Oryzias latipes: one gene and its partner. The protein of the gene in region 1 binds, or shares a complex with, the protein of each later gene. Links are inferred from orthologs where the notes say so. Each region holds a gene or a part of one and is shown on either strand. Other genes may lie near its edges. The genes, in order: disp1 and shh.

Region 1 (4,511 bases):
TCGATCACGGATTAGAAAGTTTCAGGATGGTTCCACTTTGCCTGTGCCGAAGCAAGGCAAGACACTGAACCCCGACTTCGCACTAGCACCATTAGTGTTTAAATGTGTGTGTATGGGGACTTTTGAGGGTAAAGCACTTTAGGCCTCAATGAAGTTAGAACAGCACCACATACGTATACAGCATTTACAATTATGACCATTTGTTCTAAACATGGAGAAAAGCCAGTTTTTGATTCTAAAAATTTTATTTTTATGTAATTTCTATGTAAATGGGATCACTTATGGGCCGCATAATGGAGCCAAATTGGTCAGTATGGTTCCAACAGAAACATCATCCTGTGTTTAAGACGCTGTGCTTTCTGCTCTAAGACTCTGACTGCAGCTGAGTGTGTCCATGACAGGAAGTCATTCCCAAATGTGAACAAAAAAATTCATTTGACTGAATAAAAGATGTGATTGTAGGAACAAATGAAAGTCAAAATGAAGTGCAAATGAAGAATGAAGTTGGATGGGCCCGTTGACTGGAGTCCCCTTTGTGCAACCCAACAATGTTCCAAAAACACTGAGTTGGTCAAAGTTCCGTGCTCCATCAGCCCCACTGACTGTACAAGAAAAATGGACCAGGTGAGTGTGACATCGCTCATAGAAAAATGACTTACTTCCAGCTCTGACCAGATGAAGTCAATTCAGTTGCCTTTTTTTTATTTTTGCGGTACGGATGTCGCTATATATGGAGCCGGACGACATCAGTAAGCAGCAATTGGTCCCAGTCGGTCCGAATCAATGTTTCTCTGGCAACCACTCTAGCTATCTAGGCATGCAGTCCTCAGACGAGGAAAGTGAAGACGTACATGGGTCTATTTGTTTTAAGTGGATGCATCAGAATCGAGCGGTGCTGGGAGCTTGTGGCCCGCCAATTTCAGGTGTTGCGTCACAACCTTTTTAAAGGGCAGGTTTTTTATCTGCTCTTGATCTATCGTGATTTGAATAAGGAAATACTCAGAAATGCATTTTTAATCTTAAATTCTTTCATATATGTCCTTCATCAGGAGAAAAATGCATTGTTTGAAATATTAAACAAATTAATGCTTTTTAATGGAATAAAAGTAAAAAATATGCAATTCTGAGGCTTCTCATGACTACACTACACATTAAAGCAAACTTTAATCAAAGCTTGCTTTGATTAAAGCTTAGCTTTTTTGCAAAGTTATTGTAAAAGATTCTAGAGTAGAGATTTAAAATAGCACATTCTTTCCCAAGAGTCGAATGAAAAGAAAGCAAAGTACCCATTATTACTTCTTAAAAGAGCAAAGTTTTTGCTTTTGAACTTAAAAGTTGATGAAAGTTGGGGGCAAAAACTCAAATATATGAATTTACTTTTTTTAAATAATATTGAAAAGTGGGGGGGGGTCAAAATAATAATAATAAAAATATAGCTTCCCTTTAAGGAAATTTCATTGCTTTTTTTTCTTTATTACTTTAAAAGCTTGGCGGCGAAATTACGCACACAATGCGCACGGATATTCGCAGGCTGCGCGTAAAATTCTTGCGTGCGGCATTGAGGGGGTTGAAGCAGGCAGTGTGACCGTCCTATCAGTGCTGCCCGGCGCAGTCCCAACCCACCAGCGTCTCTCTGGAGAGAGCGGCGCGCAGATCCTTCAGTATGTTTGTAAGTGAGAGCGTGTGAGGTGGTTAGACATTCGAACAGGACGCACAAGAGAAACTTGTAGCAGCCTCTTTTATTTTCTTTGCTGGGAGGGGTTGATAGGTTTTTTTAAAGGTGCTTTCGGATACAAAAAAAAAAAAAAAACATTTTTGTTTTACATTGTTTCATTGATGTTGCAACCCGTCGCATGCTGCCGATTCCCCCTGGCGTAACGAGCGCAGAGTGCCGGGAGACACAACAAACACGGTTGGACAACGTTGATATTGACGTCCTTCACTTTGCTGTTTGCTATCTGTTCGTTTTCTTAAAACTTTTGTCAGGTTTTATAGCAGAAAGTCTGGTGGTTTTCAGCAGCAAGGTTTGGAAAATTTAAGTTAACTTAAAGTATCCATCTTGACTTCGTGCGTCTTGTTTGGCAAAGACTCATTATTCTCCCAGGAGTTTTATTTTTAGAAGGTAGAGTGAATTATTTTCTTATTGGAAATATTATTATTGTTTTGGTTACAGAAGTTTTTTTAACTTATCCTTAAAAAAGTGTATTGAACAGATAATATACTGTAAAATAATCCAAAATAGACAAAGCAGCAGCTTTACCCGTCCTATCATGCTTTCTCTAGATTATTTTTGGTAGTACTTTTAGTTAAAAAAAAAACACTCAAAAGTACTTAATTTTTCCCCCCTTACTGGTCAGTAAGCACTAGCCTGAAGCACCCATATTTACTTGGCATGTTTAACCACCCAGCTGTGAGTGAGTGAATTCCCTTGAGGGGGGGGGTGCTCATACATGTCCAAAATCTCTCCTGACAACCAGAAACTTGTCAGCCAGGACTGCATGTGTCCTGCAGCCATGCCGAGCATGTGCACATCTGTAAGGTTACTCCCTGCTGTTGATTTCATTATTCCAGGCAGTGTTGTCATGAAGCGTCTCTTGACAGATTCCTGGTAATTGCTGCCTATTAGCTCTGATTAAAGGGGTGCAGATGCCTCGCCTTGCGCTGTCGCCCAAAGGTCTCTCCTCATCTCTCACACCCCATAATCAGAAAGCCGACTTGAAAGACAGCAAAAGGAGCTCTTCGTCATAACCTGTGTTACTTCAAACCACTTATGAGTATTTTGGTCTGTTTTTTCACCCCCGTTTTTTTTACATGGTAAATTAAAAATAAATAGCTTTTCTTTTAGGGGCTTGGTACATGGTAATTCCCTCTCCTACAAGTAATATTAAAAATCTACACAATTTTGCCTAAAAACTGGTAGAAACAACAGTTTGGTCATATTTATTAGTTTTAAAGATAAGATAAGATTAGGTAGGAAGTGGTCCAACTTTGTTTTTTAGAGCTAAAACACTGCTTTTTATTTCCTCATTTACTTGCTACACTTTGTTAAAAGTATTTAAGATCCTGTTTGGTTTACTGTATCTGGGCTCAACTATCACTTTCTCTGCTTCTGAATCACTTGTTTAATCCATTCTGTTCTAGTTTTGTGCTTTTATTTTGAAGAAAAGACACAAGGCCCAGCTTGTGTCCGCACAGAAGTATCACCTCCATGTCAATGGTGTGGATTGGTGCACACAGAACTGAGGCTGAATTCCAGTGGATGCCAACATCATGAAAAATCGTTTCATTTTACACAAGAACTGCTTTCAGTTTTCTTCTCCTCAAATGCTCCTGCTTCCTTTGAGTGCTTTTGAGTCATTACAGGGTTTTTTTGACAGCTTTTTGTGAACCCCAGACTTATGACTTCATCTGGGCGCTCTGCTATTCTGAACTCTTCAGGCTCTGGAGTTCCTCCTCCTCCTCCTCCTCTCCTCCCTGCATTTTATTTTCCCCAGCCCCGGCCTCTCTGCCACCTCTGACCCCACCGGGCTCTCAGGCTCATATTTCGCCACTCACTCATGTTCAGGTGTCACATCGGTTGAATAAGTCGCATGTCTCAAGTCCGATTCCTTTGGATGAAGGAACTAGCAAGTGTGACACATTGCTTAAAGCTGAACTGAAGGCTCATCTGTTTCACAAAATGACATTTTTGACTGTTAGTTTAAAATAAAACCCCATATTTGTGCACAGCTGCCTTTGACAGTTTCATTAGATGACCGTGTTTTATTGGAATCATTAAACTTAAACAAAATCCCTTAAGCTCCACATACATTTGTATAAGCTGGACTTAAATCTTGAATCTTTCTTAAGTGGCTGCTTGGCTTTACGACAGAACACAAACGGGTCATATTTTATTCGATATTGACACATACCAGAGCACTAAAGTTACCGGCAGTAAAGTCTGCAGCATCTGAGTCCGTTTCCATGTCATCAACTTCCAGTTTGCGTGATGCCATCACAGATAACACATTTTCTTCTTTCAGTGTCTTCACACTGACCCTCGCATAGGAGAAGCATTTTTTGATAAAAAAAATTACATTTTAACAAAGGACTGTGCAGTTATTTTTCCCTGCTAGTCTGATACCTCAAGGATTAAAAGTATAGACCTTTTGTTGAGTGCTTTTAGTTTGAAAAGTTAGTTTAAAATATTGGAAGTTGTCATTTGCTTTAAAAAGTAGTTATTTGATATACATTTTTAAAACTACTTGGGGAAAAATTCAGCACCTTTTTAACGGTTTACGTTTTTTAAATTCCCACTCCGATCATATTTTCACCTGTTGTAAAAACGTACCAGTGGTCTTTTTATATCATTATGCCGATTTTAGAAGGGGAGCCAGTTTAGCTCGTGCTGGTTTGCGGCGCCTTCCGTCCGTGACACCAGGGTTCAAATCCGGGCTGCTCCCTATTCCCTTCTCTGCTTCTGTGCCGGTCCCAAGCCTGGCTAAATTGAGAGGGTTGAGTCAGGAAGGGCA
Region 2 (4,569 bases), on another chromosome or scaffold:
ATGCAGGTCTGTGGGTTTTAGGGGCTGCTTTGTTTGATGGGACACAGAAAGAGGCGGAAGCTGGTGAATGGCTGCCCGTTTTCACGCCTTGTGCTGGATTAGTAGTCACATGCAACAGGCTTCTGAATACGAATTGTGAAATTCACTCCCTATTACATACAGACTTTATCATGATATGAAAACTCTGTGGATGCACAAATTCATGAGAATTTTGTTCTTCTGACATAAAAAAATACATAAATTCTTACTTTTGAGCTTGCACATACCTTCACTGTCTGATTCCCAGGTCAAACCCGAAAACTGCTTGGACATTTTTACATTTTTGTAAATACTCTGCACCTCAGGTCTGACTGAGAGTCGGTTCCTCTGTGGGGGAAACTCAAGTTCAAACCCATCAGCACTACGAGCTCTCGGAGCTGCATTATTCATTGCATTTTCTGTATTATTCATGTCATTCCACATCACATTTTGTCACTTAGAAGCAATACAGTTCAGTCTCTAATATTTTCCCTGTTGTTGCTTTTGTTATTACAACACTTTGCCCATGGATCATTCACATGAGGACTCTCACCACCTCCTCCTTTCAGCTCGGTGGCTTTAAGGAGTTTGTGTGTCACATCAGGATTGATCTCAGAGCTGCGACACCTGAACCAACACTCTGACCCGGAGCCAAATAGTACCACGCGGTGTCCCTCAGGGAACTGTAAACTCCCAGCACTGCTGTGTTTGAATAGCACCTCTGCAAAAGCAGCTGCAGAAATATTTCTGATGAGAAAATGTTTAGAATTTCTTTGACAACTGAGAAAGTGATGCTGGAAGCAGTTTGTTTTAATCAAAATTTGGTAATTGTGCAGCAAGTATGGTCTCACCTTCACTGGTTGTTCCAGCATGGCACCATGAGAGGTGCACCATGCTGGAGAATAGCCAAACTGAGATTTAAAGAGCTAGATTTGCTCATTAATATTTTTTTATTTCTGTCTTTGGGTCAATTATATTTTATTTTCCTTACATTACTTATCATCTGAATGTGACATTACAGATGGCATTCCTAATTAGTTTTATTTGAATAATATGGAGTAAAAAGCTTTTACATCTTTCTTTTTATGGAACGTTTTATGTTATATATTTACCACAGACAACAGTGTCACTCTGGAAGTCACTTTGCTCACTTTTCTTAGAATTTAGATCACCTGATAGAAAGAAAATCCTGTTATGGGTTAATTATCTCTGTGCTTTAAAGCCCTCTGCATGCCAGGACGTCGGTTAGAACAAATGCCAATCTTTGCTCCTTTTTATTTTTTACACTGAATGCATTTATTGATTTATTTTTGTTTTTCACTGCAAATCCAGGTGTGTGCATGCGCGCGCCGGGAGCACACTCGGCCATAAATGCGCACAGGCGCGCGCAAGCGCACGCGTTGAAGTCACTTCATCCAAGAGAGCGCCGCTTCAGATTTGAGCACAGCATTGTGCAAGTTGTCTGCGCTTCCTCTGCGTGTGTGTGTGTGTGTGTGTGTGTGTTTCGTGAAAGCTGGAAAACGGGAGGGAGGGTGAAAAAAGACGGTTTATAATTGATGTTTTCCCATGGAGGAGCCCCTCCTCCCCGCAGCGGAGGCTAACCCCCAGGTGGGAAAAATCTTTTAAGATTTTTTTTTAATGTGTGTGTGTGTGCGCGCGCGCGTGTGTGTGCAGGACAACATCAGGAGGGTTTGTCTAGTCCCTCCCCTGCTATATAGATCGGTGCTATAATACAAAGCATTAAAGGCGGTCGGCTCACACACGCTGCAGCTCGACTAGAGATCCCGTGGCTTATAATTCCCTTACTACTTTTTTTCTTCCAACCCCTCTTTCGATGTGCCCCGTTATTAGCGTTAGTCTGAGGCGTTCATTTCCGCACCTGCCGCGGTAGAGACCAGGCGAGACAAGGACGGAGCGAGAGCCCTGACAGACGCGCGGCTGAGACCAGCACCGGTGACTCGTTTGAGATCTTTAAAGGACAGGAGGGTGGACAGAAAATGCTACTCTGGGCCAAATTTGTTTTGGTCGGCCTCTTCTGCTTGTCCTTAGTGTCTTCTGGGATGGGCTGCGGACCGGGAAGGGGCTACGGCAGAAGAAGACACCCGAAGAAGCTGACACCTCTTGCGTACAAGCAGTTCATCCCCAACGTGGCGGAAAAGACCCTCGGGGCAAGCGGCAGATACGAAGGCAAAATCACAAGAAACTCCGAGCGATTTAAAGAGCTGACTCCCAATTATAACACAGACATCATATTCAAGGATGAGGAGAACACCGGAGCCGACAGGCTAATGACTCAGGTAAGGAGACAGAACCATTTCCTCCCCTCTTCTCCTAACGCACCATCCCGGCGCACTGCAACAACCTCCTTGTCGGTCTGGATTGCGCACCTTAAGTGAAGTGTGTTGTTCCTGCCGCTGAACTCTTCACACTGAGCCTTTTAACTTCACTGTGAGAGCAGATGCACTTTATGCACCAGCATGGGAGTTTGGAAACGCTGCGGGCTTGAAGCGAGCATTGAAATCCAGAGAAGTGATGTGCAGGAGAACAGTCAGGACACTCGGCCTGCATGGTTGTGACAGTGTATATAAAATATTAATGCGCCCCTCTCCTCACATCTATATTCACATCTATATTTGTATCTCTATGAAGCCTGATTTGTTGCTCTACACGCGCGTATTCATACTAACTTACATACAGGGCTTGTTTGGATGCTGCGGCTCATTTATGCGCCTTTTCTTGTAATAACAGCCATGAACGTCGGGTTTGCGCGCCGCTTCAAAACACATGGCGCAGCTCATTCGCACAATTATCCTCAACCAACTGCTGTTTGGCTGCGCTGGATTTGTGCACAGTTTCTTTAGCTTCATCAAGACTTCAGGACTGGATCAGGATGGCATGTGTTTCTCTGCTCCCTCCTGATGCAGCGCGTTGGTGATCAAATCAGCGCAGAGAGGAAGACGCGATACAGTGGAAAGATGCAGTGGTTTCTGCAGGATGCCGCGTCGCTCCAGTGTGACTTTTTAGCACTCCCATCCTGGTGAATTATTCACGCCGCTTGGGTGATATTGACTCAGTAAGAATGAAATGCCGGTGGTGATGATGGCGTCGCAGGTTGTGATGAAGCTCTGAACCATGCATGCGCATGAGCCTGATAAAATATTCACCGTGCGTCCGTTCTCCGCGTGCCCCCACCCTGCGCTCCCCTCATCCTCTGTGTGAGACGCCTCGAGGGTCTCACTCGTGGGGAGGAAATCACTGGCCCGGGAGGTGATTTCGAATATTAGAAGAACAGAAACATATATAGAAGCACCTGCTTCAATCTGAAGACTCTTTGGAAAATGTTCCACCTGCTGCACTGGCAGGGCGCGTCCACGTGGATGAGTGGCTAAAATGCACGTTTAAGTCTGTTTATTGCTGAGTCGTTTGTGGCTGGCGCCTCACTAGCCAGTCCTCATTCAACAACTCTTTGTGCGTGTAAAAGGAACTCAATATAAACTTTGAACTTTTGGTCAGTCGGGGGTCGGCGCAAGTTAAACTAGGTTATTCCTGCGTCATCGTGCATTTCACAGCAGAGCAATATCAAATTCAACCATGCAAATCCAAACAGAGGGGAACGCAGTAGTGAATGACATAAGCATAATCACATGGAGATTTAAGCTGTCGCAACGTTTTTGCTTTGTTTTGGGCTTTGTGCCACTTGATTTTTACGCGCGGGATTTTACGCACGCAGAAAGACCGGCTCCTCTCCTTATCTGGTGTTTCAGAAAACAGGTGTTGTACATGAAGTAAGGCACGTGCCTTCAGGAGCTCGGTTAGATGTGTGCAGTAAATAAATTAATGAGTCAGCTCACTGAAGTCTGGCCAGGACTGTGTTTTTGAAGGAGGAGCAGCTCGCCCCCAGGAAAGTTATCAGCAGATTTGGTTTGCTTTACACAAGTTTTCAGATAGTTTTTATTTATTTTCTCTACATGTCTTCCACAATCTGATCTGATCATTGTGGGCATCGTTTTTCGTTGTTTCTTTTAGAGAACTGCACTTCTTTATTTTTTAATTTGTCCACTATTTTTGATTTTTGAATTACGGAATTATCTTTTGCTGTTTTTCGGTCTTCACGCTTTACAGGAGATTAAATGGCTCATAAAAGTTTCTTTCGTGTTTATCCATTCTGTAAAGGTAGAGATGAGATGGGAGTTTGTTTGCACTGACAGGTAGCTGACAAGTGTTTCCTTTAACCCAATCATTTGTGAGAAGATTAAGTGGGCAGGCTGTTGAACAACTTTACGAGGAGCCCAGCGGTCCAAAGCGCCCCGCTGGGCTTCATGGTGGCTGAGTAGAATTTGGCTTGATTCGTGGCACACGACCTGATGAATTAATAAAAGGATAAAGCTTTGCACCGCTTTGTTCCATGTTAAAAGTGCGCAAAACTTGTTTTCTAGTTGTTTTAGTGCATTTTGCGAGTGAAACAGCCCTCATAAAACAGCAGTTGTCATAGAATTTTCTGAATGAAGCGTTTAGAGATGCTCTTCTGCACGCCCTCACAGATCTCCAAAG

Evidence for each region.
Region 2: the proteins of disp1 (region 1) and shh are in contact, whole or in part, in a cryo-EM structure (PDB 7E2I), measured with the Homo sapiens proteins. The link is inferred for Oryzias latipes from reciprocal best matches to the Homo sapiens genes DISP1 and SHH. Residues at the interface, in NP_001356523.1 of Homo sapiens: Lys242, Thr244, Gly245, Tyr246, Lys247, Ala248, Glu260, His265, Arg299, Phe336, Gly337, Asp338, Leu339, Cys340, Gln341, Arg342, Thr343, Glu459, Arg899, His904, Asp906; in NP_000184.1 of Homo sapiens: Pro49, Asn50, Val51, Thr55, Leu56, Gly57, Ala58, Arg68, Glu71, Phe73, Lys74, Leu76, Thr77, Pro78, Tyr80, Pro82, Arg96, Leu97, Gln100, Lys186.

The regions. Positions count from the first base shown.
Region 1 is NC_019882.2:13,642,972-13,647,482, reverse strand, and holds the start of disp1 (protein dispatched homolog 1), read left to right. Parts: upstream 1-1,472; 5' UTR 1,473-1,663; coding exon 1,664-1,669; intron 1,670-1,675; exon of another isoform or gene 1,676-1,912; intron 1,913-1,925; exon of another isoform or gene 1,926-2,122; intron 2,123-4,511. UniProt on the Homo sapiens protein: Functions in hedgehog (Hh) signaling. Regulates the release and extracellular accumulation of cholesterol-modified hedgehog proteins and is hence required for effective production of the Hh signal. Synergizes with SCUBE2 to cause an increase in SHH secretion.
Region 2 is NC_019878.2:19,521,965-19,526,533, reverse strand, and holds the start of shh (sonic hedgehog protein), read left to right. Parts: upstream 1-1,676; 5' UTR 1,677-2,015; coding exon 2,016-2,315; intron 2,316-4,569.